3 linked regions of the Anolis sagrei genome follow. The protein of the gene in region 1 interacts with the protein of each later gene in a biochemical or structural test. Links are inferred from orthologs where the notes say so. Each region holds a gene or a part of one and is shown on either strand. Other genes may lie near its edges.

Region 1 (11,432 bases):
CAACAAAAAAACTATCTAAATTCTAACAAATACTACCCCACTACTAAAGGCCTACTGTAGCTAACACAGCATGAATACAAAAATGAAACAGACAAGAATAGATATTTGCACAAAAAGAATACTAATAATCAAACATACACTAGTCTACAATCTCTCACTCACTGTATGCTGATTTTTATCTCTCTTTAATCTATTCTCTTTAAATACTATTATAAATTTAGAAATTCATTCTTCTACTTTTAGTAACATTCTACTAATTCTTAAAACCTACAATAAACAACTCTCTCCCCATTATGGAAATCAGAATGTAGTACAATTATATCAAAATCCCCATATCTGAAAGTCTGGTACTTTCAGCTGTCCCACCTAGGTCCAATAAAACATTCCCTTCTCGGAATTTTCTAGATCCTCCAGACAATAATATGGTATGCTTCTGTTAAAAACTGACATTGCTGGAATAACTAAAAAATTCTTTTCTGTTTCTCCCAGCAACGATCTAAGGTATCTTCCAGTGGAGGCAGTTTTTTTCAATAGGGTTTGTTATTATCCAATTTCCTACAAGGGCTATACTATATACTGAATGGTACACAAACATTCCTAAAGCTGTATCATGACAATTTAACAAAACAGATTTAACTATAAGTTGTATTACATGGAAAGTAAGCAGTGAAGAAAAAGATGTAAAATTTAGCATCAGTTATGACACAACAGCTATCCATATCTATGCTACTCTACAGCAGCAATTCTGGCTTACTAACCACTGGCACTCAAACTGAAAACAGAATGCATGGCCCACTGTTCATTCACAAAATAGTTCAAAAATCCAGGATTTCAGGTTTAAAGCAATGTGCAAACAACACTGGTAAATGACATGTTGCAATTATTATGATGGGCTCCCTACTGAAACTAGGAACTCGCAAGACATTAGAGGCACCAGGACCTTGAAGAAATCATGTTGCATTGCAACAGGGACACCTATGAAACCTCAAAGAAGGATTCTGTTCTGTGATCCTATGCCCCCCTCCCCCCAACTGCAAAAAGAAAGCTCAAAAACATGTTATTTCTGGTTACTACAATTACAGGGCCATAATTTTATCTTTTGAAAAAACTATATCCAGTAATTACCCCTCCGCATTCATATGTTACATATTTGTTATAGCAAATATACGGTACTGGGGTGCAACTCTTACTTTTAAAAAAGTTTTCCTCTAAACAAGGATGTACAAGATTACCCCACTTAAGCAAATGAAGTGATCTAACTTGGACTATCTGTTCCACTTCTCTTCATCTCCCTATAATCCCCTATACATTTACCAAACCAACACCAAATTGCTTCCACAATCCATTCACTCCTTTAAATACAGCAGACAATATCAATAACATTTTAGAACAGTGTGACTCAAAGTGGTGGTCCCCAAACCAGTGCTGGTCCCTGAAACATTGGATGCTGTTCTCTGGCAAGCTTCCAAGTGAGAAGGAAACAACTGTTGACAATGGGCAGAAATTTGGAGGGGGGGGGGTGGTTGCTGGTAGCGATGTAAATTAGATTCGATGGTACATTAATAATAATAATAATTAAAAAAACTTTATTTATACCCCGCCACCATCTCCCCAAAGGGACTCGGGGCAGCTTACATGAGGCCACACCCATCAATACAATATACACAATATAACACAAAAATACAACAGAAAATCAGAAAATAAATTAAAATACAAAACCAATGTATATAAACAACACAACAATATAAAATCAAAACATTACGACATCAAAAATGATCACCATGGGCAGGGCCAAATTCAGGAATTAAAATTTTTAAACACTGTAAAATATCAAGGAGGGGTTCCGGGGGATGAGGTAAGATTTAATTGCACAACAAGAAAATAAAGTGCTTCTGAGGGCATTTTATGCAGAGTTTGGTCAGAGATTATCATGTAATCAATCACTGAAAGCATATTGGAACAGCCAATGAATCACATACCTAAACCTTTTTGCACTGCTGGGCAAGAGGAGAGAGGGGCAGCAATGGCTGTGAAAACACTGGTAGGAAGCTGATGGTAGCCATGAAAAAACTGGTAGGAAGGCCAGACAGAAGGCACAGCTTCCCAACAGCCTTTTTACAACCACTACTACTTTGATTTACATTCGATAGCAATTCCTGTTTTTGTAATGCATACCTTCAAAACGAAGGTGCACATAACATTCAATGACGCATTATACTCAAATAACTATGGGCATTGATCCCATGAAGATCAGTACTTGCTCCTGATATACTTACTTCATTGAAATCAGTTCCTATGTGGGCGTGTGGCAGAGTCATTTCATTACCCTTAGCCCCCTTTTATACAGATTGAATAACTCTTATCCAAATTCTTGGGCTCAGAAGTGTTTTGGATTTTAGAATACTTACATTTGCATATATATACTTAATGAGATAGCCTGTAAATATACACATAACCTAAAGATAATTATATAGAATGGCGTTTTTATTATTTTTGTGCATGAAACAAAGCTTATGTATGCTGAGCCATCAGATAGCAAAGATGTTATCTCAGCCACCTATGAGGAAGATATTGGATTTTGGAATTCCAGCTAAGTGATGCGCAATCTGTATTACATTACAACACTCAATAAAAATAAGATTCAAAGCAGAAATAACATTGGAGGAAATGATCACAAAAGAATCCACCTGCCAAAATTTAGAAAGTCAAGCAAAGGAATATTTGTTGTGTTCCAGGTCTTAGTTCTTGCACAAGAATATTTCTTTATGCTGCTCCTCATAGTAAATGCTTTCCCACATAGAAGATTACAGAATTTACAGGCACATACATTGTTCTAGTCTACTTCAGGACATTCCTGACCATTTTTTCAACACCCCACACCTATTGATGGATTACACAACACTTAGCAATAACTAACTTTATCGAAGTCTTGGCGGAGAAACACAAGACTAGGTAAGATTTTCAAGTTATTATATTTCAGGCACACTTTTCAATTCAATTTGGGTCGCAATGTAAGAATGGAGAAGTCAAAATGGGACACTAAATATTACAATACTGTATAACTAGAGTATAACTATATGATGTTTGACTATTGTAGATGGGTCTATACATTGCACAATAGACTTTCAGTTAACTGGAATTCAAGCAACCAGAACTCTCAAGCTATCAAAGAAATAATCAGATCAGACCCCACCTGTTTGAAATACCTTTTAAATGAACTGCAACAGAAGCCTAGTATTTTGTAGTATTTTATTGTCATATGGAAATTTTAGACTGCTTTTAATTTAATGGTAATTTTTAATTTTCTATAAGGGAGCATCCATTTAACTCTTTTGGGTTGTTTTAATCAATGGTTTTATATTATACTGTATGTTTTAATGATGTTGTGAATTACTTTGGGTCTGCTGGAGAAAGGCGGTATAGAAATTCCTGAAATAAATAAGTAATACTGTATACACAAAGCAATTTTTAAAATACAGCAAAACTGTGATGTTATGTTTGGCTTTATTTGCTTTTAATTACTGTATTTCAGTATGAATATCAAGTCAATACAGAGCATATGATATACTACAGTATGTAGTATTAGCTAGACCTATTTTAAATTGTAACTCTCAAGCAACCAGACCCTAATTTATCTGGCAACTGCCTATACATTTAAAATCTATTGCTTCTCTTTTCCCTTGAATTGCATTATCATTATTATACTACTCTGCCTTTCCCCCAAGATTAGGACTGAAGGCAGCTAACAAATTAATGATCACAATAGTTTAAAAAAAACATTGAGAGTCACTATTAAAGTAAAATCAAACTATTAAACAATTCAAAATACACTTTAACGCAAGGCTGGGCAAGGTAAGAGTGAAATTCCACCCACCAAAATATTTTTTTCTTTCCCCAAATATTCCAATAAGGGTTGCGATGAGTATTTTTGAATTTTGGATTATGTGATTTTAACATTAAGATGTTAAAGCTATGTTTCAATTGTCTAAATGTTTGTGTTCTGTTTAATATGATTTTAATGGTTTCATTTATAGTTATATGTATTGTTTTAGTTATTATGTTTGGTGTGTATATATCTCGGCATTGAATCTTGCCATTACTTGATATACACCACTTTGAGTCCTATCCCCACCCCCCGGGGTGTGAAAAGTGGTTTTGTTTGTTTTGTCATGTCAGAAGCAACGTGAGAGACTGCAAGTTGCTTCTGGTGTGACAGAGTTGGCCGTCTGCAAGGATGTTGCCCAGATGATTGGATGTTTTTATCATCCTTGTGGGAGGCTTCTCTCATGTCCTCGCATGAGGAGCTGGAGCTGATAGAGGGAGCTCATCTGTCTCTCCCCGGATTTGAATCTGCGACCTGTCGGTCTTCAGTCCTGCCGACACAGGGGTTTAACCCACTGCGCCACTGGGGGCTCCTGTGAAAAGTGGTGTATAAACACAGTCAATAAATAATAATATTAAAAACCCACCTACTCAGCACTGAAGAAGTCTCAGTTCTTAGGTTAAACTACAAAAATACATGACACAGATTATTTTTCGTTAAGATGGGTATTGCTGAAATAATATTTCCATTGAAATTTAGCATCATCTCAGGCCCCTTCCACACAGCTGAATAAAATCCCTCATTATCTGCTTTGAACTGGATTATATTGCAGTGTGAATTTAATGTATTGTCAAAGGCTTTCATGGCCGGAATCACTGGGTTGTTGTACGTTTTTTCAGGCTATATGGCCATGTTCTAGAGGCATTCTCTCCTGACGTTTCACCTGCATCAATGGCAAGCATCCTCAGAGGTAGTGAGACAAACGTCAGGAGAGAATGCCTCTAGAACATGGCCATTTAGCCCGAAAAAACCTACAACCCAGTGTGAATTTAGATAACCCAGTTCAAAGCAGATATTGTGGAATTTTATGCCTTAATATTCTGGGTTATATGGCTGTGTGGAAGGACCCTGGGAAAACCGCTGCCCTTTCTGTTTTTAAGTCACCCAAGTTTATGGGATTCCGAGCTTTTTAAACTATCGCTTTGCAATGAGGGCAGCCCCGGCAAACGTTAGCAGGCATTGCCAATTTCTTGAGCAAAAGACAAGAGACACGCACAAGATCTGAAGGGCTGAACGGTCTGCCATGTTGGCGGACCGCAGAGGTACTGAAAGGACATGGACAATTCATAGGTCCCTGGATATACTGGAAATACAAAAAGGTTTGAGATTGAACAAGAAGAGCATTAGAACTAGTTCGATCATTCACTGAATCATGGACTTTACTTAAAAGACTTTGATTTCTTATTATTATGATTACTATTATTGAAAAGCAGGCCCTTATGAGCAGCACAGACCACAAGAGGGCAACTGACTTCCACGAGGGAGGAGGTTCCTGGCGGGAAAGCCGCAAACTCCGCCCGCCCACACCCACACTCCTCTTGATTGGAGAGCGCGCACGTCGCTCGAGAGGCATTCCACCAATCCCGCGAAAGAATGAGAAGCGCCCGCCCCCTCGGTCAACCCCTCCCTCCTCCCTCTCAGCATTCTCTCGCTCGGGCCGCCTCCACACCCTTCGACCCGCCAGGCTGTCACTCATGCAAGCTGGCCCCGCCCACCCTCAGGCCCCGCCCCCTCTTCCAACGGTACCACAGTGCGGTTCAGGCAAGCTCCCAATCACGCCGAGACCACGCCCCCTCCCTCTAAAGGACCGGCTTTCGCTAGCACGCCGCCCGCCGAGTTATTTCCCGTGGTCGCTCACCTGGGAGAGTGGAAAAAGTAACGGCTCGGTGCGGAACCAACTTCCCCCACCCCCTCACAACCGCCGCTTCTGCGCAACGCCCGCCAAAACAGGTTCGCAGTGCGCACGCGCCGAGCTGCCCCCCCCCTCCGCCCCTTTCTCGCGCTGGCGTGAGGCGCGCGCACCGCTCCCAGCGTCCCTCCCTCCCTTCCTCCTGTCTGACACAAGAGTGAACTTAAGGCGCATGCGTGGCTTTTGTAGGCCCCGCCTCACCGTTTGCTGCTGCTGTTGCTGCCTGGAAGCAAGCTTTTATAGATCTGAATGGCCCTTTCCACCTCTTTTATTCTAACCCCCGCTGCCACCTTCGCCAAAGGCGTTGCATACAGTTCTTGGGACCGTTAAAGGAAAAACGTTCTAAGGCTGCCAACTTAATTCCCGCCTCTGTTAAAATGAATGAAAAGAAAGCTGACCAACCGGAAAAATGGAATCCGGGTATGTAAGCCAATCACAAGAGAGATGCGTTCTAAATTGGCCAATAAAGGGAAAGCTACCATGGAGAGGGGGCGGGTGCTGCCTCAGAAATGGCGGAGGACAAAATTGAGGAGTGACAAGTATCTTACCCAATAGCAAGCGAACGGAGGTGGGCAAGCCGTGCGAAAAAGGGCGAGGTCACTATTCTGTTGTCCAATAGGTTGCGGCCAATCTGCCCGCTGCCCAATGGGAGAGGAAGCGGCTTAGGAGACTGACCAATCGTGGTTGGCCGGGGGCGGGCCTTAGTAGTGAAGCGCCGGGGCGCTGCTGACTCTGCCTCTTTCCGCCTCAGCTGCAGAAGAAGGAAGAAGCCGCGTTGGGGAGGAAGCCGGGCTAGGCCTCGCCGAGTGAATATCGCCACCATGTCGAAGTCTGAGGTAAGGTCCGCCCGCGGGCGTTTGTGTCGTGTTGTTTCGAAACCAAACCTGTGGCTTGTTTTTGTGGAATTATGTTTCCTTTGCCTTTAGGGATCGTCCGATTACGGGTGCGATATGTCTCCTAACGAAGTAAGTGTTAAAAATCCTCCCCGCGCCAATGCTGGCTGTTTTTTCCCCCCTATTGGCCATTTTTGAGCTTCTGCTTCGGCCTCCTTCCCCTTGCCGCTTGGGCCTGCTTTTCCTCCACCTTCCCCGGCCACTACGCATGCGCGCTGGCTTCCCGGGGCAGGCGCCATCTTTTACAGTGCGTGGCGTTCTAAGCTTTCCCCCGGCGCCTGTAATGGCTGCGCATGCGCTGTGCAGTCCAGCAGGCTTTCTCTGGAGCGCATGCGCGCCGTAGAGCACAGCTTTTCCCCCTTGAGCTCTGTGCGGGGGATGGGAAAGGGCTGAGCCACGTGATCGCTCGCTTTGTCTCTTGAGCCCAGAATCCTCATTGATTCCATTTCGAACTTGAATAAACCCATTTGATTCATTGTGTCGAAGATTATGCAGTTTGATACAGCTTTAACTCCTACGGTTCAGTATCATTCTGAGAGATAGCCTTTTGTAAGGTCTTCAGCCTTCTCTGCCAAAGAGTGATGGTGCCTCACCAAACTACAACTCGTAGGATTCCATAACATTGAGACACAGGCAATATAATATATTATATGTACTTATAATATTGATTGTAGTATTATAATGTAATACAATATAATACTAATACAGTATAATCTATATAAACAAAAATGTAATGTTCGTTTGTGGGATTAACATAAATCAAAAACCACTGGACAAATTGACACCAAAATTGGACACAATACACCTATCAGGCCCATGAGTGACTATCACTCATAAAAACACTGAAAAACACTGCAGAAGGGAATTTAAAAGAGAAAAAATACATTACAACGCATTTGCCAAACCATATATATATATACACACACACATGCACGCAAAACGCAGACTGGGCCACAGCAATGCGTGGCAGGGGGTGGCTAGTAACATAATAAAATATAATAATTATATAGTACATGTAATATTACTAATAATTTTGCATCATAATGGTGTAGTACAATATAATAATATATGATGCTAGCATTGTACTATGCTAATAATGTAATATATAACTTGTAAGCTGCTCTGAGTCCCCTTCGGAGTGAGAGATGGCAGGGTATAAAATAGTATAGTAAATAAATAAAATAGCAATTAAATTATTAAACTACATAAATTCCATGTAGATGGACATCTTGCCTGAGAAGCATTCTGGACTCAAGCACCTTAATTATTCAGCCAGTTACACTGCTTTTGTAGTATTTAGAGAGAACTGTGTTGGTTTTGGAATATCAATCTGCAATTTTGTTGCAATTTAAAGACTACCTGACTATCCATCAGTTTTTGAGAGACCGCTCTCCCCACTGAGTTGGAGCCAGCCAGACATCGCTCCATCTTATCTTATTGTATTATATCGTATTTATATTGTAATTGTAAAAGTAAATTAATATTTTGGAAAACACCGAGCCTTTGTGACTAAAGAGTGGACTATAAATAAATAAAATAATAATGCTCAAATTTACAAAAGCTAATGCTACCAACCTGTTTTCCTCAGCCTTTAGAATGCCATTACATCCCTTTCCTTTCTTCCATACTCCACCCTTTCTAAGTTGGCGAGGTGGTCGTTACACAGTTCATTCCAAAATCTGCTTTTTATGCTTCTGTTATCTGGTGCATGGTCATGAAAGCAAAACATATTCCCATGTTGCCAAGACCCATGGTGCTCTTTCTGTGGATCCTCTGCACTATATTTACATAGACCAGAAAAAACACTTGTATTTGCAGGCAGCAGTCTTGAGCAATAGTATATATCCTTAGTCATTCATTGTAGCATGCCTTAAAAATTATTTGCTGTGGAGTCTTTAAAAATGCAATAATTTCCCCCAATGGTATGTTTATTTTTTCAGTGGCTCAATTCTGGGTTTTTTAACAGGTCTGCTAGTCAGTTTATTTATATTGCCCAACTTAATTATTCTGACAATTATGTGTGCCAGAAGTGCTGAAAACACAGGAAATGAGGCAATTGTCAGCAAAACCTATATGCTGTAATTTTCAACTCTCTTACAAAATTATGCTGCAAAACACTCTTTGTTTCAGTGTAGAAATTGAGAGAAACCCAGAAAGTACTTAAAGAAACAGTGGCATAATCTGTAATATTTGGAATCTGTGCCTAAGTGCTCCCAATGAAGTTTAAGACTTTGTAGTCAAGAGTAAGTAACATGCTAGTTTCACAAATGCTTGTGGCATGGTAAGAGTGTTTCTTTTCATTTACAGTAGGAGCTCTGCCTTCACAGGGGTTAAAGATACAGGACCCCTCTGAAATGGGAGAATCACAATTATTTTCTTTTTACCTGTGAAAATGCCTCTAGGACTCTGTTCTGGCAAAGGGTGACCATTGAGTAATTTTAGAGGACTTGGATATTCCTAAAGAGAGGATAGTACTAAAATACACAAAATGTAGACGGCGAACAGTTGAGTGAACATATTCTGCAGAACCATCCGGGCAATTTTACTTGTTGTTTTATCACCTTGCTTTTTTCTCTTTTAGTCCCCGAAGGAGCCTGAACAGCTGCGCAAACTGTTTATTGGGGGCCTCAGTTTTGAGACAACAGATGAGAGCCTTCGCAATCATTTTGAGCAATGGGGGACACTTACAGACTGTGTGGTAAGTATCTCCAGCATCTTGAGCACAGCTATTACAAGGGAAACATTTCTGGTTTGGACTGGATTGGGTATTGCAGCTTAAAGGACAGCACACCTAACAAGTATTAGAGAAGCTATTGAAAAAGAAGGGGGCATATTGTTCCAGCATGTTGGGGTGGGTTGGAATTAGTACTAGCTTTGATTTTCCCTTTTGTGTTAATGAAATCTGATATACTGGATAGGACAAATGTGAAGTTACCTTATTGCAAGTTAATCTTAGGAAATCCAGCTCATGAGCTTGGTGGGTATTATATCCTTGGAGTGTGTGTGTGTGTGTGGCTTATGAACTATGGCTGCACTTGGCTTGACAAGATTTAATGCACCCATAATTTCAAATTCATTTAAAACAAGGCATTTGCTGGTTGTTTCCCAGCAACTTCAGTGGGAGGGGTATCTGTGAGAAAAGGGTTGGTCTTTAATATATTTGTTCTGTATCCACTATTAGTTTCAGTGCTACCCATACTTGATATATGACACCACCAACAAACCTTAAGGAAAGTGGTTGCCCCCACTTGGTATATGCAGAACGCAAAATGAAATACTGATTTGAATACTTCATTCTAGGTGATGAGAGATCCCAATACTAAGCGCTCCAGGGGCTTTGGATTTGTGACATACTCAACAGTGGAAGAGGTTGATGCTGCCATGAATGCCAGACCACACAAAGTTGATGGTAGAGTTGTTGAACCAAAGAGAGCTGTATCCAGAGAGGTAAGAACTGCTCTTCAGTTTATTGTAACAGGAATAGATTGAGGTTCTGTACAGGCAGTCTCCAAGTTACGAGCAAGATAGGTTCTGTAGGTTTGTTCTTAAGTTGAATTTGTATGTAAGTTGGAACAGTTATATTTATTAAATCATAACGCCAACCTAATATAGTCAGATGGGTACAGGGTCCTCATCTTTCCTTGTAATTCTTGCTACAAACATCTTAGGTTGCCTTTCTTGTTTTTAGATATATGAAGGTAGAGTCCTAAAAGTGAATTAGGATAAAGAGACACTGAGGAAAACTATGTATGTTTGAAAACTGCATGAATTTTTAAAATAATTATATCAAATATATAAGCGTTGGATAGCCTAGGGAAGAGTGGTGTTTGTTTTACTGCCTGTTCAGAAGATTTCCTCTCATCTTCTGTCCCTGTGATAATTGGATTTCGAAAAAGGTGGTTTGTTGTGGAAACAAGAATTGATGCTGAAGTTCAATGGAGACACCTTTTCTTCATGATAACTTCTGGGAGTGAATTTCCCTTCTGGGGGATAGATTTCCTCTCACTTCCTGCTCTCTCTGTCAGAAATATTTAAAAAAAATTAACTGAGTATTTTTGATTACAAAAGTGGGAGTCAAGCACTGAAAGAGTTAGTAGGCCGAAGTCTTGTGTAAGAGCTCCAGTGTGAAGAGTGCTGCGTGTAAAGCTGCTATATATTTATTTGTGTTACAGAAACCTAGTAAATAGTGCAACCATATTATTTTTCTATAAAGAAAAGCCTCCAATGGAAGAAATAACATTGGGCTGTGTGTTTTTGTTCTTTTTATCACTTTTGGCTACTGGTGTTGGGTCACGCGGCTGCTGATAAGTTACTACTGTACATTTATGAGTAGGGTCTTGTTACGAAGCCCACTCGCCTATGACTCATTTGTAAATCGAATCTTTGTAATTCGGGACTGTTTGAAGCCCTTCTCAATAGGTGAAGACTGGAAACATAGCCATGTCAGGAAAATTTATAAGATAAATAAAAATAAACCAGTTCACTAAGCTATTTATGAGTTGGTATCATTATTTGCTCTGTGCCAGTGATGACCGTGAATCTTCTATGGAGAGCAACTTACAAGTCAGAACATAAAATGCGATGCCCATAAAAAGACCATGTTCCTCTTCACTAGTTTTGGGATCAATTTATTCCATTATAACAGTGACATAAAAATGTTACAATGAAGCCTTAGTTTTGTGTTGACCTTTACTTTCTTTAAATCTGCTTGATTCTGAAATCTGGATTTATTGAATAAAAGGCTGAC
Region 2 (10,697 bases), on another chromosome or scaffold:
GGCCCAACAAAGTGGATGGCAGAGGGTCATGGTTTCAATGCTGGTGGTCTTTGCTACTTCTTCCAGAAGACTGGCGTTTCTGCACCACCAGTCTTCTTCCCAAGAGATCTGCACAATTTTTCAAAGGCAATACTGATGGAAGTTGAGAGTTTTGGCAATTTGGGGCCTTTTACAAGTTGTTCAGGGCAGGGCCGTAGCCAGAAAAAAAATTCGGGAGGGGTTTAAAATTTCGGGGGGGGGGTTGAAAATTTCACGGGGGGTTGAAACCTGCCTCCTAGCTCACGCTGAAGCAAAGAGCACAGCAGGGGGCAGAGCAGCCTTCAATAGCCTGCAGCTCTGCCCCTGTCAACCACCTCCACCAAGTCTGGCCTCCTTAATGAGAGCATTCAACACTCCCCCCCCCCCAACTTCATTGCTTCACTACATCGGCTATTGCTGCAAGTAATGACAGTGTGAATAAATTGTCAATATTTACTTGAGATAGTGCTTGCAGTTCTGGAGGGACTGTTAATTTTTTGCGTCTCATAGACTTACCATGGGGATTTGGTTAACCAGTTAAAATTCATGAGTAAACCAGGTTTTTTTTTAACCTGAAAGATTTGGGGAGGGGGTTGAACCCCTAACCCGCCCCTCCACCCCCGGCTACAGGCCTGGTTCAGGGCCCTTTTACAGTTGCCCAGGGCCAGTTTTGGCCATTTGGTGTCTTTTAAAGGTTGTTCAGGGCAAAGAAACACAATATTTATAGAAATACAGAGTTGTCAAAATTCAAATTTCCCGTGCCCGCCCCCTGAGCTGGCCTCGCGGTGATTGGCTGGAGTATCAGCTGGCTGGGAGGTGAGGCTCAGCAAGGCTGGGGTTGTCCAATCAGAGCATTAGCCCCACTTCGGCTGCTCAGCCAATGAGGAGGCAGGAGGCGGGCCGGGTGCGAAACAATTAATGAAATGGGTAAAATGATAGGATTAAGGTGACCAATGTTTGCCCAACGACCCAGTGATAGTGTAGGCTCTCAAGCTGAGTCCAAGTTATTGTTTTAACCTTTTGAAATAACATCTTTGTCTAGCCCCGAGGGCCAGGTCCTTTGGTTTTTCCTTGCTGTGATATGGGGTTCATTGTCAGAGCAGAGACTTGATTTCAGATCAGGATATGACACGGTAGGGAAGCTGTGGCAAAATCCCCGGTTCCTTGCAGATAGGGAATTGCCCTTTATGTTGGCTGATCCAATATGTCCATAGACCCTATTGTTTCTGAATGGCCTGGCTATCAGTCCTTTGAGATCCAGACAGATAGAGCCATTTATTTATTGTCCATGCAAATATGTCTTGGTTGAGTCCTTTGTCTAAGGAATTACTGGCCCAGGAAGTTTGGAAACTCCAAGAGCCATGAGTTGCTGGCTTTATGAAAAAGGTGGCTTCTTCCTTCATTTTTCAAATATTGACATACATATAGGGAATGGGGAAATGGGGTATGGGAGCATACATGGAATCTGAGAGGGGAGGAGGGGAAATCGTGCAGGGTCTAGGAAAGTTCATAACAGCCCCCAAAGTCCATGGAAGTTTATAAACAGTCATAAAAAGTTCATGGGAATCTGTAAAGAGTCCAAAAAGTACCTAGAAATTGTAAAAGTTAATAAAAGTTGACAAAAATCCAGGAAAGTTTCTAAAAAGTTCATAAGAGTTTGTAAGAGTCCACAAGGATTCATGAGGTGCAAGTAAGTCCATGGGAGCACTGGATTGTCACAGTCCATTTAATAGACTGAAGGTTTATTTCATAAATTTTTAGTCCATGACAGGCTGGAGTGGCCTGCCAGAGGTTGGGGGTCCCCAGGGGTGACCACATGGGGCCCCTCTAATCCAGCAGGCTTCTGGGCTCGGGGTAATGTCCACAATGTGAAGGCACAACCATGGCTGCTGCGTGGGAGCCATGGAGAAAGACGTTCTGGTTACCACATGAGGTTCCACCTGATGAGGTGGCATTGTGGGGCACAGGGGTCTGTTCAGCAGAAAGTGAGATAGCAGTTAGTCTCAAATTAGTCCCAGGAAAAGATTGACAGTGGTTTGGAGTCGATCGGTTGACCCGCGGATACGGGGGCCGATGGGTTTCCTTATCCATGGTTCAAAGGAATGCAGTTTCGCCCTCCCTGGGATGCTGTAAGAGCATCCCGGGAGAGCCAGCAGTGATCTGAGGCTCGGAAAAGGAAAGGTTCATTCTGGAAAGTATTTGAGTCAGTAAAGGGACACAATGTATAACTATGAAGAGGAAAAGTTAGAAGGAAAGATGCTTCTTTTCAAAGATCCATGCTCTCAGGAACTGTGGAACTCCCTGCTGCGTGATCAGATCAGCTTGAAGGCTGGGGCCTGCAAGTTCGCCCTCAGTAGTTCAGAGTTTTGCCCATTGAGTGCCTTTTAAAGGTTGTTCAGGGCCTCTTTAGAATTGTTTAGGGCCCGTTTTGCCCATTTTGTGGTTTTTAAAGGTTGTTTAGGGCCTATTTAGGGTTGTCCAGATCTTGTTTTGTCCATTAGGTGCCTTTTAAAGGTTGTGTGGGGCCTCTTTAGTGTTGTCTAGGGTCGTTTTGCCCATTGGGTGCCCTTTAAAGGTTGTTTAGGGCCTTTTAAGGGTTGTCCAGGGCCTGTTTTGTCCATTGGGTGAGTTGTAAAGGTTGGTTAGGGCCTCTTTAGGGTTGTCCAGGGCCCGTTTTGCCCATTGGGTGCCTTTTACAAGTTGTTTAGAACCTCTTTAGGGTTGTCTAGGGCTCGTGATTGCCCATTTCGTGCCTTTTGCCAGTTGTTTAGGGCCTCTTTAGGGTTGTCCAAGGCCAGTTTTGCCCACTGAATGCCTTTTAAAGGTTGTTTAGGAGCCCTTTAATGTTCTCCAGGGCCCGTTTTGACAATTTGGTGCCTTTTACAAGTTGTTTAGGGTCTCTTTAGGGATGTCCAGGGCTTGTTTTGCCCATTGGGAGCCTTTCAAAGGTTGTTTAGGGCTCTTTAGGGTTGTCCAGGGCCCGTTTTTGCCCATTTGGCAGCCAACTCTCCACAAAAGTTGACCTTGATGCCAAACTCCAACCTCGCCTGAGCAGTGCGAGTGCAGCACTGTTTTGAATGAAGCAGGGAGTGATCGAGAAGATACCAAGATGCTTGCTCATAAAGCTGTTGTCCTCTCAATTCTATTGTGAAACAAACTCGAAATCTCAGGATTATAGAGCATTGGCTATTTGAACTGAGAGCATAACTGCATAATGGAGATGGATGCTGTGTCAGTCCAGGAGAGCTCACTTTGGGCTTCATTTTACCTCAGAACCATAATTATTAAAAACTAGCTGTACCCGGCCACGCGTTGCTGTGGCCCATTGTGGAGAAATGGGATAGAAAGAAAAGAGGAAGAGCTGGTTTCTAAGCTATCAATACACAACTGGAGTGGCAAAGTGTCAACCTAATATAGGCCCCTTTTCAGTCTCCTCGAGGCCAACGAGTTTTATGGATGTGTGGAAGGGCCCTGGGTTACCTGAGTCCACACTGTCATATAACCCAGTTCAAAGATATTATATAGATATTATTATTGTTGCTGTTGTTATAGACATATAGATATTATTATAGGCATATAGATATTATTATTATAGACACAATTATTATTATTAAAGGTATATAGGTATTATTATTATAGATGTTATTTTTATTTCATATCAACATTTTATTATTATTATTTACAGTATTTATATACTGCCTTTCTCACCCCTGGGGGGATTCAAAGCATTGCATGAATTAGTAAGGATGGGGCAGTAAGGAAGGCAGGCCCTCCCCAACCGGGCCTGCCTTCTCCCGGCTTCAGGATGGGGTCTCGCCCCATCCTGAAGCCGGGAAAAGGCGGGGGAGGCGGCAGGCGGTGCCCATGCTTTGGGCCCATGCTGCCTGCCCCCTCCCCAACCGGGCCTGCCTTCTCCATCCCCATTCCCAACCACCACCCCCCCTTCCTACCCTCCCTCTCCTCAGTAGCAAGCAATATTTGTTGTACAATGAAAAACTGTCAATAAAGATATTTTTTTTTAAAAAGGATGGGGCGAGACCCCATTCTGAAGCCAGGAGAAGGCGGGGGAGGCGGCAGGAGGCGCGGCTTTGGGCCCGCACCGCCTGCCCCCTCCCCAACCGGGCCTGCCTTCTCCCGGCTTCAGGATGGGGTCTCGCCCCATCCTGAAGCTGGGAGAAGTCGGGGGAGGCGGCAGGCGGTGCGGCTTTGGGCCCATGCTGCCTGCCCCCTCCCCAACCGGGCCTGCCTTCTCACGGCTTCAGGATGGGGTCTCGTCCCATCCTGAAGCCGGGAAAAGGCGGGGGAGGCGGCAGGCGGTGCCCATGCTTTGGGCCCACACCGCCTGCCCCCTCCCCAACCGGGCCTGCCTTCTCCTGGCTTCAGGATGGGTTCTCGCCCCATCCTGAAGCTGGGAGAAGGCGGGGGAGGCTGCAGGCGGCGCGGCTTTCGGCCCGCACCGCTTGCCCCCTCCCCAACCGGGCCTGCCTTCTCACTGCTTCAGGATGGGGTCTCGCCCCATCCTGAAGTCGGGAGAAGGTGGTGGAGGCGGCAGGCGGCGCGGCTTTCGGCCCGCACCTCCTGCCCCCTCCCCAACCGGGCCTGCCTTCTCATGGCTTCAGGATGGGGTCTCACCCCATCCTGAAGTCGGGAGAAGGTGGGGGAGGCGGCAGGCGGCGCGGTTTTGGGGCCGCGTTGCCTGCTGCTTCTCGACACCCCGCGGGCCAGATAAATGCCCTCGGCGGATCAGGTCTGGCCCGCGGGCCGTCGTTTGAGGACCCCTGTGTTAATCCCACAGACCAACATTACGTTTTTATTTATATAGATTGAATTGAATGGTAGACATGTAGTGAATAGGAAAATATGAAGGAAAAACCAACAATTTCATATATTAGTCCCAGTAATTGTATGTTTAGGATGTGTTTTTTACTCTAGGTTTGTTTCATTGTAGGTTTACGTGTCTTCTATCAAATTTTTTGTGTTTTTCTTTTTCCTTTCATCACCCTTTAAGAAGAGAAGCAGTTTTCTGGGCATTTCTAGGTTTGAAGAGATTTGAAATCTTCTTTTCCATTTTGTCCGACATTCTCCCTCATAGGAAAAAAATGGATTACGGAACATTTCCTTTGAATATTATGCTTCAGATGAGGCCTTCCCATATTTTTACATCTGACCCTCATTTTTATCCCCCCTTTAAAAAAAAAGAATTACTTGTGTTCTGTTTGTTTGACAGGGCTGGATAAGTGTTCTCCTCATATTGTGTCAAACCAAGTTGTGTGTATTGTGCATGGAATTACAGAAATGACTTTGGAAAAAGTGCTTATATTGGGTTTTCTTGACCTTTTATGATTTTTTGGTGGAGAAACATGTCTACACCGTGGTTTGGAAACTCCCAAAAACTTTACATCGTTGGGTTCTGTTGATTTTTTTTGGTCTTGATTTTACCTCAGAAATTACCTCAGAGAAAGAATAAAAAGGCCTTTAGAGAAGCTTCTGGCGCCCCAGCCAATAGGAAACGGGAACAGTCCCGCACGCGGCGAGGCCCCGCCCCCAACAGCTCTTCGGCGCGCTCATTGGCTGAGCTGCTTAAAAAGTGCAAGCGTCGCTCAGCAACAGGGCTGTTTTGGCCCTCGACGCCCGCCGTAGTTCGTTGGCTTGTCTCTTCGCGAAGCCCGAGTGCCCGTCAGTCGCGGCGATGTCGCGGGAAGGGGCGGAGGCGAAGCCCGTCACAGTCAGCGACGTGCAGGAGCTGATGAGGAAGAAGGACGAGATCGAAGCCCAGATCAAAGCCTACTACGAAGTGCTGGACGATGTAAGGAAGAGGGACGGGGGAGCCCAAACCCGGGACTACAACATCCATCATCCCCAGAAAGGCCCGTAGCCAGGATTTTGATTGGGGGGGGGGGGCTGAGTCTGAGCGAGAGAGGGTCTACCCTAGCAAACCTTTTGTATTGTTACCCCAATACCCCTATGCATATGGGATATATTGAGCATGGTGATCAGATCATGATATGAATAAACATAACAGTTTAAATAATGTACCACTAAGGCCTTCTCACAGACCACCATCAGAATTTCGGCTACATGCCTGTCCCCAGAGAAGCTTTTGGGAATGGGTTTTGCAATCCAAAGCTGGTGTGACAGGCCTCAGATTTCCCCAAGCTTCAGCAGGAGCACCGAAAGTCTTTTCTCTGCCTTTAAAATATAATATCTGTTGCTCTTGAACCTATTATTAGCGACTTTATTTCTTTCTTTCGCCTGGTTTGGAGAAATTATATCTTCTTGATCTAAAACTACAGGTTGTGTGTTTCTTATCCACAATCGTTCGGACCAGAATTGCTTGGGATTTGGTGTGATTTCTTGTCCATGGGATTCTTAACAACAACAACCTCATTTATGCTTCATCTTCGCCTTCTACACATAGCTTGAAGGCAATTTTGCCTACGATAGAACCCGCTGAAAGCAACTGCAGTGGACAGTTGTATGTTTCAGAGTGTTTTGGAATCCCAGGTAAAAGATGCTCAACCTGTCCTAACTGCCCTGGTCCCCTAGCATGGAGCCCTGGCGGTTAAAGTGGTGTCAAGTTGCATCAGTTCTACAGTGTAGGTGCACCCCTCACTGGGATCCCCTCTACACTGCCATATAATCCACATTATTTGCTTTGAACTGATTATATGAGGCCCCATCAACTCTGCAATATAACATCCAGATTATCTGCTTTGAACTGGATTATGTGACAGTATAGACTCAATGTATTGTCGAAGGCTTTCATGGCTGGAATCACTAGGTTCTTGTGGGTTTTTTCGGGCTATAGAGCCATGTTCTAGAGGCATTTCTCCTGACGTTTCGCCTGCATCTATGGCAAGCATCCTCAGGTTGAGAAGGTCTTCTCAACCTCTGAGGATGCTTGCCATAGATGCAGGCGTCTCAACCTCTGAGGATGCTTGCCATAGATGCAGGCGAAACGTCAGGAGAAATGCCTCTAGAACATGGCTCTATAGCCCGAAAAAACCCACAAGAACCTAGTATAGACTCAGATAATCCAGTTCAAAACAGATAATCTGGATTATATGGCAGTGTAGATCCAGCCTGAGGGCCCTTCCAGACAGACCCTATATCCCAGGATCTGATCCCAGGTTTTCTTTTTATCCCAGATTATCTAACAGTGGAGACTCATATAATCAGATCTAAAGCAGAAAACCTGGGATTAGATCCTGGGATATAGGGCCTGTCTAGAAGGGTCCTGAGTCCACACACTGCCATATAATCCAGTTCAGAGCAGATAATCTGGATTTTATATGGTAGTGTAGAAGAGGTCTCAGGTAAGCATCCATGGAATTGCAACCTTCATTACTTCTTTGATGGCTGATAGCTTTTATGGCAAGGTTGAGAGCCACTGTGCTTCTGACAGTTGAATGGAAGGGGTTGTATTCCCTCCTGTTATTAGAAGCAAGATATTAAATGCATCATGTTATGTGTAGGAAATCCCCCCTTTTCCCACTCCTTAATTCCCCTGGTTATTGGTTAAACTGATGCAAAATGCTCATTACTTTGAAAGGCTTTGGTCCTCATGTGCTGAGTCACTGGAGAAGGCCAAATGTGGAGCTCCAGCTATTGGCATTTTGCTCCTGAACAAGACATTGGGGTATATTTTTGGAAGAGTTTTTCTTCCCGTCCCTTTTGTCAAGTTAAACCAGGATGACTGAGGCTGGATCTACACTGCCATCTAATCCAGATTGCACTATGCAGCACGATTGTTGTTCCTAGGTTATACATGTAATTCCCTAATTGGCTCTATCATAAAAACATGGAAAAGTGTGTCAAACATCCTGCAGCACTTTTGCTCTTAGTTTTTCAATGATTCTGTCATAAGAGTCTCAACCAATTCAACCTAGTTTGTGGTGGCCATAAAAATGAAGTTTTTGGAGTAGAACAACTATTTTCAAAGTAGGTATCACACAATTAAACAGGAAATAACACTTTCAAACTAGGAACAGATTTTTTTCAAATGTTATATAGTGTTATCAAAGCAGATGATCCACATTAGCTCCTTTGAACTGGATTATATGAGTCTACACTGCCATACAATCCAGTTCAAAGCAGATGATCTCGATTTTATATGGCAGTGTAGATCCAGCAATAGACAACCCATTTTCAGCAATGTGGGGTGGGACATTTTCCATTGTATATCTCTCCATAATTTCTTTTAACCCAAACTTGTTCCATAGATTGTATTAACAACACAGAAGTTCAACGGTGGCAACTGGAATAAAGTTGAATCTAAAATTAAGTTTATTTACCTTTCTAGGAAGTGTGTTATTATTTACATAACTCTACAGGAATGCTAAAATTCACTGTTGTCTCTGCCTTTATTTTTTAAATCATAATATAAGGTTAACTACTGAACTGTTTTACTGAACTGTCTCATCATTAAAGGTTTACATGCTTTCCTGTTGTTAAAAATGCCTAAATAATGCTTTTAATTTAATTAACTGAAGTTTTAGAGCACTGTGTAGTTAGTTATAGAGGTATTTTTGCCAATCGGATATTTTAGTTCAGCTGTTTTTGGTATAGAAAACAATGCTTGTGTGATCTTTACAGCATATTAAATTAACACACTAAAATTTTTGCCCACTAAATAAAAATCAAATGTCTAAAATCCACTTTCCCTTGACTGGCTTTTTTCTAAGCCCCATTGAACTCAGTTGACTAGGATTCCAGCTTCAGTGAACACGATGTTAAGCTGTGTGTTTTGTAGCAAGCTCCTATTTTGTATTTCCTACAAAATAGCTCTGCAAAGTCACTTTGTTCTCCTTTTACCCTGCAGCAAAAAGGTGTTGGGATGCATGAACCCCTTGTGGATGTTGAAGGCTATCCGCGTTCAGATATTGATCTTTACCAAGTCCGGACAGCAAGACACAACATCATCTGTAAGTATTAAGTCCTTAATTTGATTGATTGTTAGTTCTAACTTAGTTCCATCATGCACAGTGGTGCTTACTTCAGGATTACACCCTGATTTGAGGGGGTTTTTTGGCTTGGAAAATGGGATGGGGATCCAAACAGGAAAAAAGCCCAAAACCTATCAAGAGTCTGAGGAGTAGAAATGCATACATATAAAGTTAAGAATCAAGAGACCTCTGAGCCAATGTTGTGTCTGGGCATCTGTTTCCATCATTTTTATGTAATAGATCTTCTCTATTAATGGTGGAGAGTGGACAAGATCAGAGATAGGCCAGGGTTCTCAGTGGGTGACAATACCAGTGTAACTCCCTGCTGCCCACCCCTGCCTTAGGTTATGGGTTTATTTTGTCTCTAGGTCTGCAAAATGATCACAAGGCTTTGATGCAACAAGTGGAAGAGGCGCTCCATCAGCTTCATGCCCGGGATAAGGAAAAGCATGCAAGGGATGAGGCGGAGGCTCGAGCCGAAGCTAGAGGCCAGGGCCTGCCCTCGCCTCAGCCTTTTGCCAAGGTGAACGCCATCACCCCAGGATCCCCGGCAAGCCTTTCGGCAAGTACTGACGCTCCTTGCTCTTGGTATCTGTCAGTCTGGTTTTTATTCTGGTTGTCAACCTAAGGGCAAATCACCTTGACTATGTTTCCCTCTGAAGGGCTTGCAAGTTGGTGACGAGATTGTGGAGTTTGGCTCAGTGAATGCACACAACTTCCAGTCGCTGCAGAATATTGCCACTGTGGTGCAGCACAGCGAAGGGGTAAGAATGAGGGATATTATTATTATTATTATTATTATTATTATTATTATTAGGACTTTGACCACTAGGCAGGTGAATTTGGGAGTTCTATTTTGTGTGGCCAAGTTGAACAATTGACCAGTGGTAGAGAAGGAGTTTAGTTTGTATCGATGACCCTGTTAGCTTCTCTTTTTAATTTTGCCTTGGGAATTTGAGACTAGAAAAAGATAATGGAAGCTAAGAACTGACTGGCCTGGACAACTATAGCCCAACCTGGAGAGCAATCCAGGCTGAACATATGTGTATTGTGTTACTTCTCTCTGCCCATAGAAAGCATTAAGTGTGACTGTGATCCGTGGAGGAGAAAGAATGCATCTGGGCCTCACCCCGAAACGCTGGAGTGGCAGGGGGCTTCTGGGGTAAGCATGCGAAACACCTCTCTGGTAGTGAAAGCCACAGCTTTTTGTATAATGCTTTAGACCAGTGGTTCCCAACCTGTGGTCCATGGACCATAAGAATGAAAATATGGTCCACGGCCTCACCATTACTACATAGTTGCCTGGAAACCACGCAGCAACAAGAGCGACTGGTCTCGCGAAACCCTCTTATAGTGCCAAGGCAACAGGGATCTCGGGAGGGGAGAGGCTGACTACCCACAAAAGATTGCTACTACCACATCAGTTCTAGATTATTAAATATGGTTTTCTGTGGGCCAGCAGATGGCGACTACTGAATGGCATATGTTCTGTATCAGAAACTAGAGTTGATGTCATCTATCAAATTAAGTTTTCTGAATCAACACCCTAAATAACCAAACCAAATCTAAAGTTGACCAAAAACTGATTCGTAACCCTTTTGCTACTAATGTTGGAAAGTGGTCCCTGGTCAAAAAAAGGTTGGGAACCACTGCTTTAGTCAATAATATAGAATACATCTTGTTCTCTAAACCTGCTCCCTTCTTAAATGAGGCACCAAGATGGGGCTTGGCCAG
Region 3 (11,163 bases), on another chromosome or scaffold:
TAGTTACTTTTATAAATATTATACTTAATAATTTTGTGTATGAAACTAATCTTCTGGGTCCACTGAATCATCTGAATGTTAGGTGCCACTATCTCAGCCACTTTTATGGCTGAATTTCAGAAAAGGGATGCCCAACCTAAAAACACAGTTAACTGGAATATAAGCAACCAGCAAAAAATAGGAAGAAATAGTACTTTTAACTTAAAAAAAGCTTTTTTACAGTAAAGCTCTGTCACATTAAACAATATTTGTCTTTATTAGTCTTCATTTGTTTTCATGACTACATTTCAATATGAGTATCAAGTCAATATAGAGTTTATGGTATAGTATGGGAATATATATATATATATATATATATATACTCACACACACACCGTTCTTAACTCTGAGTCATTTGTTAGTTGGATGTTTGTAACTTGGGGACTGCCTGTACAGTAAAGCTATGTTAAATCAATTTTCTTTTATTGTTCTTAATTTGTTTTTAATGACTATATTTCAATATTATAATCAAGTCAATACAGAGTTAAGTGTATGGTATAGTATAAGGATATAGAGTTGGGTCTATTTTAGTAGTAAAGCTGGATTACATTAAGTTAAATTTGCCTTCATTGGACTTTATTTGTTTCTAAAGACTATAATGTTAAAATCAAGTAATAAACAGCTTATGGTAGAGTAGAGTATGGGGATATAGAATTTGGTTTATTTTTAGTAGTAACTCTCAAACAACCAGAAGTAGTAGTTGATCCAGCATCTACCAATCCCTATAGTGCCAGCAAACTGAGGCCCCTTCCACACAGCTATATAATCACATTGAACGGGATTATATGGCAGTGTAGACTCAGATAACCCAGTTCAAAGCAGATATTGTGGGATTTTCTGCATTGATATTCTGGGTTGTAGGGCTGTGTGGAGGGGTCCTACATGTATCTAGCATATACCAATTTCCATGGGTTCTGGTTAACTGAGGACCCTTCCGCACAGCTGAATAAAATCTCACATTATCTGCTTTGAACTGGAATATATGGTAGTGTGGACAGAGGCTCCTTCCACACAGCTGAATAAAATCCCACGTTTTCGTCTTTGAACTGGAATATTTGGCAGTGTGGACTCAGATAATCCAGCTCAAAGCAGATATTGTGGGATTTTCTGCCTTGATATTCTGGGATATAGGGCTGTGTGAAAGGGCCCTGAGATAACCCAGTTCAAAGCAGATTTTGTGGGATTTCCTGCCTTGATATTCCAAGGGCCCTTCCACACAGCCCTATATCCCAGAATATCAGGGCAGAAAATCCCACAATATCTACTTTGAACTGGGATATGAGTTCACACTGCTATATATCCCAGTTCAAAGCAGAAAATGTAGGAATTTATTCAGCTGTGTGGAAGGGGCCCCAGATAATGTGGGATTTTCTGCCTTGATATTCTGGGATATAGGGCTTTGTGGAAGGGCTCCCAGAACATCAAAGCATGAAATCCCACAATATCTGCTTTGAACTGGGTCTTCTGAGTCTACACTGCCATATACATTCCCCAACACCAACTGCTACTCTGGGACCAGAGAAAAGTGGGCCCCAGGAAGATATTGTATTTATTTTATTTATTGTATTGTATATGACTTGTAAGTTGCTCTGAGTCCCCTTTGAGTCCAGCTCAAAGCAGATATTGTGGGATTTCCTGCCTTGATATTCTGAGTTATATGACTGTGTGGAAGGGCCCCCAGATAACCCAGTTCAAAGCAGATATTGTGAGATTTTCTGCCTTGATATTCTGGGATATAGGGCTGTGTGGAAGGGCCCTGAGGCTGGGGACCTTCCAGTCAGGCATTATATCCCAGGTTTTCTGTTTATCCCAGATTATCTGGCAGTGCAGACTCATATAATCCAGTTTAAAGAAGAAACCCTGGATCCCTCTTTCCTCTGGTCCCAGAGTAGCAACTGGTGTTAGGGGAGTGTATATGGCAGTGTAGACTCAGAAAACCCAGTTCAAAGCAGATTTTGTGGGATTTCTTGCTTTGATGTTCTGGGGGCTCTTCAACACAGCCTTATATCCCAGAATATCAGGGCAGAAAACCCCACAATATCTAATTTGAACTGGGATATGAGTCCACACTCATATATGTGGAAGGGCTCTGAGGCTGGGGACCTTCCAGTCAGGCACTATATCCCAGGATGTGATTCCCAGGTTTTCTGTTTATCCCAGATTATCTGGCAGTGCAGACTCATATAATCCAGTTTAAAGCAGAAACCCTGGGATCACATCCTGGGATATAGGTCCTGTATGGTAGGGCCCTGGGTTAGGAGTGCATACTTGCCATATAATCCAGTTCAATGTCGATTGTACAGAGCTGTGTGGAAGGAGCCTAAGAGTCTACTGCACTCTTACGGTGCTGGAGGAAAAATGGCTCCAATGAACAGGGGAAACATCCCATGCTATTCCAGGGGTGGGAGGCTTCTCTCTGGACAAAGAGCGCCATTGGGGAGACAGTGCAGACGTGCTCCACGTGTCCTTAGGTTCATCCCAATAGATGGCTGCAGGCTTGGCACAGAGAAGGGAGCATGAAGCGCTCTGGGCATCTCTATGGGGCAGAGAGCTCCAGGCGGTTTGGGGTGAGGAAAGGAAGGGGATCCGTCCACAAAAGGGGAGGAAGGAGGCGGATTTCTCGGGGCCCGGCGCGCTTTCTTCCTAGACGGGCGGGGGCGGGGCTGGACGGGCCGGAGGAGGCGGGGCCCTCCGGGGCGAGGCGTGCCATCATGCCATGCGGGGACCATGAGGAGGGAAGCAGCCGAATTGCGGAGGGAACCAGCTTTAGAGAAAAGGAGGCCGCATAATTTCATAGCACCCACTGAATATCAGAATACATATCAAATGATGAGGAAGACAAATCTGTCCTTATGAGATCAGATGATCAGGAATTGGGAAATAATAATATAATAACAAAAATGATTCCCCATTATTCCTCAGAATAATGTGGGGAGATGATCAGAAATTCGAAAATATTATATTACAATCCATCGATGTTAAATTGTAGTATTTTTGAGCCTCGTTAAGAAAATGGGATATAATAATTCATATCAATAATCATATAATAATATAATAAAAATGACTCCTCATTATTCCTCAGAATAATGTGGAGATGATCTGAAAATATACTATAATTATATGGCCTCATGTAAGCCGAGCTGGGTATAAATAAAGTTTATTATTATTATTATATAATACATATCAAGTGAGAAGGAAAAATCTGTTCCTGATAGAGATCGGATTATCAGAAATCGGGATAGAATAATAAAATAATAATACTAATTCCTCAGAATAATGTGGGGGAGATTATCTGAAAATATACTATACTATAATAATGATAATAGAGATCAAGTGAGGAGGAATTTGTTCCTGACAGAGATCAGATAATCAGAAATTGGGTTAGAATATTATTGTTATTATTCCTCATTATTTTTCAGAATAATGTGGAGATATGATCTGAAAATATCCTATAATTATGATAATACATATCAAGTAGGAAGAATCTGTTCCTTATGGAGATCAGATTATCAAAAATTGGGATAATAATAATTATTACTCCTCATTATTTCTCAGAATAATTTTGGGAGATGATCTGAAAATATCCTACAATAATGATGATACATATCAAGTGAGCAGTGTGGACTCAGGGCCCTTCCACACAGCCCTATATCCCAGAATATCAAGGCATATAATCCCACAATATCTGCTTTGAACTGGGTTATCTGAGTCCACACTCAGATACTGTGGGATTTCCTGCCTTGATATTCTGGGATATAGGGGTGTGTGTAGAAGGGCCCATTGTGGGATTTTGTCTTGATATTCTGGAATATGGAGGGGGGGAAATGTGGGGATGTAAATATAATATAATCTTTTCCTTAGAATGAGATTATCAAAAATTGGGTTATAATAACAACAAACCAGGGAAGCATCCATTCCTAATAAAAATGTGGGGATATTATCATAAACTGGGGTGTAAATATAATATTATAATAATAATCTGTTCCTTAGAATGAGATTATCAAAATTTGGGCTATAATAAAAAAAATCGGGGAAGCATCCGTTCCTTATAATAAACTGGGGTGTAAATATAATAATATTAATCTGTTCCTTAGAATGAGATTATCGAAAATTAAGATATAATAACAAGTCAGGGAAGTATGCGTTCCTAATAAAAATGTGGGGAGATTACCATAAACTAGGATGTAAATATAATATTATTATTATAATCTGTTCCTTAGAATGATATTATCAAAAATTGGGTTACAATAATAACAAAAATCAGGGAAGCATCCATTCCTAATAAAATATGGGGAGATTATAATAAACTGTAAATATAATATAATAATCTGTTTCTTAGAATGAGATTATCAAAAATTGGGCTATAATAACAAAAATCAGGGAAGCATGCGTTCCTAATAAAAATATGGGGAGATTATCATAGACTGGGATGTAAATATAATATTATAATAATAATCTGTTCCTTAGAATGAGATTACAATAAACTGGGATGTAAATCTAATATAATAATATTCTGTTCCTTAGAATGAGATTATCAAAAATTGGGCTATAATAATAACAAAAATCAGGGAAGCATGTGTTCCTAATAACAATGTGGGGAGATTATCATAAACTGGGGTGTAAATATAATATTATAATAATATGTTCCTTAGAATATTATCAAAAATTGGGTTATAATAATAACAAATCAGGGAAGCATGCGTTCCTAAAAACAATGTGGGGAAATTATCATAAACTAATAAGATATATAATAGTAATAAATCAGAAAAATCCATTCCTCATACTGATGTGGGGAGAGAAAATAAAACCTTCAGTAGGAGAAGAGGGGATTCCAATGAGACCCAAAGGCCTTTCTTTCTCTTGGAAGGAGAAGGAACCCTCGAGGATGGGGGAAAGCGCCCTGGGGTTCACTATGAGGGGCGGACAGGCCTTTGAATGGGAAGGGAGTGGGGGGTCCCTCCTTAAAGGTCCCCCCAAAGGGCCCGGGCTCGATGGGGAAGGGGTGTGTGGGGCCTGAGGCCTCCCTGGAGCCCCTTTCCCCCTTTCTCCCGCTCCCTCCACCCCTCCCACGCGCCCTCACCTCCATGATGCAGTTTGCAGCTTCCGCCATCTTGCGAATGAGACGCTGAAAGAGAGAGAGAAGCCGTCTCGCGCGCCCGCCCCCTCCCCTTTCCCCTCAACGCTCTCGTTCAGCCGAGGAGGTGGGACTCCCTCCGATTGGGTGGCTCCGCTGTCACTCCCGAGAAAGAGAAAGAGGTGGGGAAATAAGCCCCGCCTCCTTGTTTCCCATTGGTTGACGCGACACACTCTTCGACGGGATCTTCCATCAAACCGACGTTCGAATCCCATTGGGTGCTTTCCGTAAAAGAGGCGGGCTTTTTTTCTTTTAGAAACAGGCATGGGGCAAACTTCGGCCCTCCGGGTGTTTTGGACTACAACTCCCACAATTCCTAACAGCCTACCGCCTGTTAGGAATTGTGGGAGTTGTAGTCCAAACACCCGGAGGGCCGAAGTTTGCCTCATGCCTGGTTTAAGACACCCAAAGAACAGAGCGTTGTCAATCACGAACCAAGAGGCGGGCCCGTTTGTTAGTATGAAATATGATTGGTCCGGAAAAGAAACGACCACCAATTAAAAGAGGGAGGCGGGTTTTGGAGCTAATATTCCAAGATTTATTGGTGATGGAAATGCCTGTCAAAGCAAAGGGTTCCGTATTCTCAATCATCATTGGTTGCTTTGTTTCAAAGGGGTGGGACAAAGAAACGGATTTGTTAACGAAACTGACAATCAAAGAACAGAGGTTCTCTTTAGCCCCATAAACGATGCATTAATTGTCAAGAAGTACATGACAATATAAAGCTCCTTCTATACTGACCACCTGCTGCAATGCAACCTGAGCCCTGCCACATGCACAATGGGGGGCCTTCTTGCAGCAACACCAGAAGCACTCCAAGTGGCCAGATACTGGTCAAAGGACATTTAATTAACTACCAAACTCACACATTTTGTATTTTCTCTGTTTGTTTGCTTTGTTCTGTTAGAAATGTAATATAATCGACTGACTGTCCTGACACGATAAATAAATACACTGCCATGTAACCTAGGGCCCTTCGACACAACCATATAACTCAGATTATAAAACCAGATAATCCGCAAATGAACCGGATTATATATCAGTGAAGACCAATATAATGCAATTCAAAGCAGATAATCCGCATTGTCTGCTTTGAACCGGATCACATTGGTCTACACTGATATACATATAATCCAGTTCGAACCAGATAATCCGAATTATCTGTTTCGACTTGGATTATATGCGTCTACACTGACATATAATCTGGTTCAATGTAGATTATCCAAATTATCTGCTTTGAATCGGATTATATGAGTCTTCACCGACATACAATCCAGTTCAAACCAGATAATACGCATTATCTGGTTTGAACCTGATCACACGAGTCTACACTGATATATAATCCAGTTCAAATCAGAAAATTCAAATTATCTGCTTCGAACTGGATCACACGAGGCTACACAGATATAATCCAGTTCAAATGAAATAATTCAAATTATCTGTTTTAATCAGATTATATGCGTCTACACTGACATATAATCCTGTTTAAAGCAGATTATCCGAATTGCCTGCTTTGAACGGGATTATATGTCAGTGTAGACTCATATAATCCTGTTCAACGCAGATAATCCGGATTATCTGCTTTGAATCGGTTTATATGAGTCTACACTGACATATAATCCAGTTCAAAGCAGATTATCTGAATTATTTGCTTTGAATGGGATTATATGAGTCTACACTGACATATAATCCTGTTCAAAGCAGATTATCCAAGTTACCTGCTTTCAATCGGATTATACGAGTCTACACTGTCATATAATCCTGTTCAACGCAGATAATCCGAATTATCTGCTTTGAATGGGATTATGTGAGTCTACACTGATATATAATCCAGTTCAAAGCAGATTATCTGAATTACCTGCTTTGAATGGAATTATATGACTCTACACTGACATATAATCCACTTCAAAGCAGATAATCTGGATTTTATTTGGGACTATACAAGGGGCCTAACATGCTGAAGGCAGAGAAATGCCGAAAACTACAAAGCCCAAATTTCCATATAATTGAGACGTGGGAGTTGAAGCGGTATCAAACTGCATTAAGTCTACAGTGTACACTCATCACCTATCAATCTTTTTTTTTTACCCCCATTGATAGTATTCACTTAGTGTCATTAAAAAGCCTTCATTTCCTTATTGGCTGAATGGCATATCCATCATTTAGGATAAATTATTGACAAATCTGTATTGGCAGACAAACATGTCAATCCGAATTTGGAAAGGACAGTAATTTATTTCATTGGTTTGTGTTCATTCATTGCCAAGGTCAAATGTTATATGGAAGGGCATGACGTCACTCAGCGACGAAGAACAGCCTTTTCTGCTTGTGCGATCAGCTATTGGATAGATTGCCTGTCAATAAAAAAAATCCTAAAGCCTCATTGGATAATTTCCAGCCAGAGCTCTCCTAGTAAGGACAAAGTGGGTGTGCCATTCACAAACCCAGAATTCTCTCTTGAAAGCTCATTGGTTCAGTCGAGATACCATTGAGAATTTTAAGTTGCAGTGGTGAAATTCGTCTATGTGCCTAGACTCACGTCCGACTCTATAGAGAACAGGAAGGAGGTGAGAAAAAGAGATCTATACACTAGAAAAGGCACAGGCAAACTTCGACCCTCCAGGTGTTTTGGACTTCAACTCCCAAAATTCCTAACAGCCTACCGGCTGTTAGGAATTCTGGGAGTTGAAGTCCAAAACACCTGGAGGGTCGAGGTTTGTCCATGCCTGCACTAGAATCAATCAAATTTGATACCAAAGAGTGCTGGTGCTTCACTAAACTACAACTTCCAATAGGATCCCATAGCATGGAGCCAGGTCATTAAAGTGGTGTCAGACTGCATTCCTTCTACAGTGTAGATGCACCCCCTAAGGCACTGGAGAATGCATGTACAATGCAGAATGAATGAAGTTTAAACCCACTTTAACTTCCTTGGCTCCATGCTATGGGATCCTATTGGGAGCTGTAGTTTGCCATCACTCTACAATTTTTATTAGTTTGCTTCATTTACTTTATTTAAAATCAATTTGGTTAAATGTATTTATTCATTTAACGATTCTTTCCATTTTATTTGTGTATTTATTTCAATTTTATTTAACTGATTGATATTATTATTATTATTATTATCATCATCATCATCATTATTTACACCCCACTTTATCTCTTCTGAAGAGGAATCAGACTGGCATATCATAAAAGCATTATTATTATTATTATTGACACAAAGGCGCAGTATGTCACAGCAAACGAGATCCATATGCTGGATTTCGTATCACAAAATCATAAGTCAAACACTTCCCAAGGGTCTAGGGCTGTGTGATGTATTTTCGAATGATGCGCACAGATCCAAGTAAGGTGGCCTTTTGCAGTTGACAGATGGTGATTTTGTCAATGTTTATTGTTTCCAAATGCCAGCTGAGATTTTTTGGCACAGCACCCAGTGCGCCAATGACCACTGGGACCACCTGTACTAGTTTATGCCAGAGCCTTTGCAGTTCGATTTTGAGGTCTTGATAGCGGCTGAGTTTTTCCTGTTGTTTTTCACCTGGTATGGCGACATCAATAATCCTGACATTTTTCTTTTCCACAATCGTGATGTCTGGTGTATTGTGTTCCAAAACATTGTCAGTCTAGATTTGAAAGTCCCACAGTATTTTTGCATGTTCATGTTGCACGACCTTTGCGGGTTTATGATCCCACCAATTCTTTACTGCTGGCAGTTGGTACTTGTGACACAAGTTCCAGTGAATCATCTGAGAGTTGTGTCTTTGTTTGTAGTCCGTCTGTACGATTTTCTGGCAGCAGCTGAGGATATACTCAATGGTTTCATCAGCTTCCTTGCACAGACTGCATTTTGGGTCAACAGCTGATTTTTCAATTCTGGCCTTAATTGAATTTCTTCTGATGGCTTGCTCCTGGGCTGCAAGAATCAGGCCTTCTGTCTCCTTCTTCAGCCACAACCAGGTCTTCTCCTTATCAATTTTTCCTTCAATTTTGTCAAGGAACTTCCCATGCAATGCTTTGTTGTGCCAGCTGTCAGCTCTAGTTTGGAGTGCAGATTTCTTGTACTGGTTCATAGTCTGCTGTGCTTTGAGAAGTTTCCGATTATTGACTTCAATTACAACAGGTTCCTGGCTTTCCTTGACATATTCTGCCAGGGCATGTTTTTCTTCTTCAACTGCTTGTTTTACTTGTAAAAGTCCTCTGCCACCAGAATTTCTAGGCAGATAGAGCCAGTCAGCATCACTGTGAGGGTGCAGTGAATTATGAATGGTCATGAGTTTTCTTGTTTTTCCAAATTGCCTGCATCCAGTTTATGATACCAGCAGTGTATCTTATGACAGGCATGGTCCAAGTGTTTATGGCCTTGATGGTGTTGCCTCCATTGAGCTTGCTTTTGAGAATTTTTCTGACCCTTTGAATGTATTCTTTGCTGACCACAGTTTTCGCATGTTCATGTTTGATGTTGTCCAGCTGTAGTATGCCCATATATTTATAGGCCTCTGGCTGGTGACACTTGATTGCTTGGCCAATGGGCATATTTATGCCCTCACTTTCAATGATTTTTTCCTTCTTCAGTGCCAGTGTCAAACATTTGTCCAAACCAAACTCCATGTTGATATCAGTGCTAAAGGTTCGGACAGTATTAGTCAGAGAGTGGATTTCAGTTTCAGTTTTCCCATATAGTTTCAGGTCATCCATGTACAGCAGATGTGAAATTTTGTGAGATTTCTTAGATGTTTGATAGCCCAGGTTTGTTTTTTGTAAGGTTGTTGACAGAGGGATCATGGCAATGATGAATAGCAGTGGGGACAATGAGTCTCCCTGGAGGATTCCTTTCCTGATGTTGACAAGTACGTAGTTTTCATTTCCAACAAACAGTTCAGTTTTCCAGTGCTTTATCATATTTTCAATAAAAGTGCCAACATTTTTACAAATGCTGATGGTGTCTAGGCACTTGATGCAATCGTTTTAATGTTCTATTGTTATTGCTTTAATGTTTATTGGTTTGCTTTATGAGTTTTATTGTTGTATTTGTTATGCTGTTGTTTTATTGAGGGCCTTGTCCTTTGTAAGCCACACGAGTCCTTCGGGAGATGTTAGCGGGGTACAAATAAAGTTAATAATAATAATAATTTCATGATTTATTTATTTATTATTATTATTTGAAACACAACAAGATGAGTCCACAGCAGACACTCTGCTGACTGTTGTATTGGATCACACGTCGGACACTTCCCAAGTGTCTAGGACTGTGTGATGTATCAGCAAATAATGCATGCAGATCCCAGTAAGGTGGCCTTTTGCAGCTGGCGGATGGTAATTTTGTCAGCACTGATTGTGTTTAAGTGCAGGCCAAGGTCTTTAGGCACTGCACCCAGTGTGCCGATCACCACTGGGGCCACCTTGACTGGCTTGTGCCAGAGTCTTTGCAGTTCGATTTATTATTATTATTATTATTATTATTATTATTATGTTACTGACATAAAAACACAGTATGTCACAGCAAATGAGATCTATATAATTATTAGAAACACAACAAGATGAGTCCACAGCAGACACTCTGCTGGTTGTTGTATTGGATCACATGTTGGACACTTCCCAAGTATCTAGGACTGTGTGATGTATCAGTGAATAATGCGTGCAGATCCCAGTAAGGTGGCCTTCTGCAGCTGGCAGATGGTAATTTTATCAGTGCCGATTGTGTTTAAGTGCAGGCCAAGGTCTTTAGGCACTGATCCCAGTGTGCCGATCACCGCTGGGGCCACCTTGACTGGCTTATGCCAGAGTCTTTGCAGTTAGATCTTTATTATTATTCAATATTTTTATTATTATGTTGCTGTCACAAAATCACCGTGTGTCACAGCAAACGAGATCTTTATTATTATTATTTGAAACACAACAAGATGAGTCCACAGCAGACACTCTACTGGTTGTTGAATTGGATCACATGTCGGACATTTCCCAAGTGTCTAGGACTGTGTGATGTA

The links.
Region 2: the proteins of HNRNPA1 (region 1) and PSMD9 interact in a test that uses a peptide from one of them, tested with the Homo sapiens proteins (3 studies listed by BioGRID and IntAct, with this or other methods). The link is inferred for Anolis sagrei from reciprocal best matches to the Homo sapiens genes HNRNPA1 and PSMD9.
Region 3: of the proteins of HNRNPA1 (region 1) and PRMT1, one has a biochemical effect on the other in vitro, tested with the Homo sapiens proteins (3 studies listed by BioGRID, with this or other methods). The link is inferred for Anolis sagrei from reciprocal best matches to the Homo sapiens genes HNRNPA1 and PRMT1.

Annotation. Positions count from the first base shown.
Region 1 is NC_090022.1:188,552,466-188,563,897, reverse strand, and holds the start of HNRNPA1 (heterogeneous nuclear ribonucleoprotein A1), read left to right. Parts: upstream 1-6,506; 5' UTR 6,507-6,613; coding exon 6,614-6,628; intron 6,629-6,718; coding exon 6,719-6,757; intron 6,758-9,266; coding exon 9,267-9,383; intron 9,384-9,985; coding exon 9,986-10,132; intron 10,133-11,432. UniProt on the Homo sapiens protein: Involved in the packaging of pre-mRNA into hnRNP particles, transport of poly(A) mRNA from the nucleus to the cytoplasm and modulation of splice site selection.
Region 2 is NC_090034.1:32,226,111-32,236,807, reverse strand, and holds the start of PSMD9 (26S proteasome non-ATPase regulatory subunit 9), read left to right. Parts: upstream 1-5,643; 5' UTR 5,644-5,707; coding exon 5,708-5,824; intron 5,825-8,839; coding exon 8,840-8,942; intron 8,943-9,331; coding exon 9,332-9,525; intron 9,526-9,625; coding exon 9,626-9,727; intron 9,728-10,036; coding exon 10,037-10,125; intron 10,126-10,697. UniProt on the Homo sapiens protein: Acts as a chaperone during the assembly of the 26S proteasome, specifically of the base subcomplex of the PA700/19S regulatory complex (RC).
Region 3 is NC_090026.1:22,286,967-22,298,129, reverse strand, and holds the start of PRMT1 (protein arginine N-methyltransferase 1), read right to left. Parts: upstream 5,235-11,163; 5' UTR 5,150-5,234; coding exon 5,120-5,149; intron 1-5,119. UniProt on the Homo sapiens protein: Arginine methyltransferase that methylates (mono and asymmetric dimethylation) the guanidino nitrogens of arginyl residues present in proteins such as ESR1, histone H2, H3 and H4, FMR1, ILF3, HNRNPA1, HNRNPD, NFATC2IP, SUPT5H, TAF15, EWS, HABP4, SERBP1, RBM15, FOXO1, CHTOP, MAP3K5/ASK1, MICU1 and NPRL2.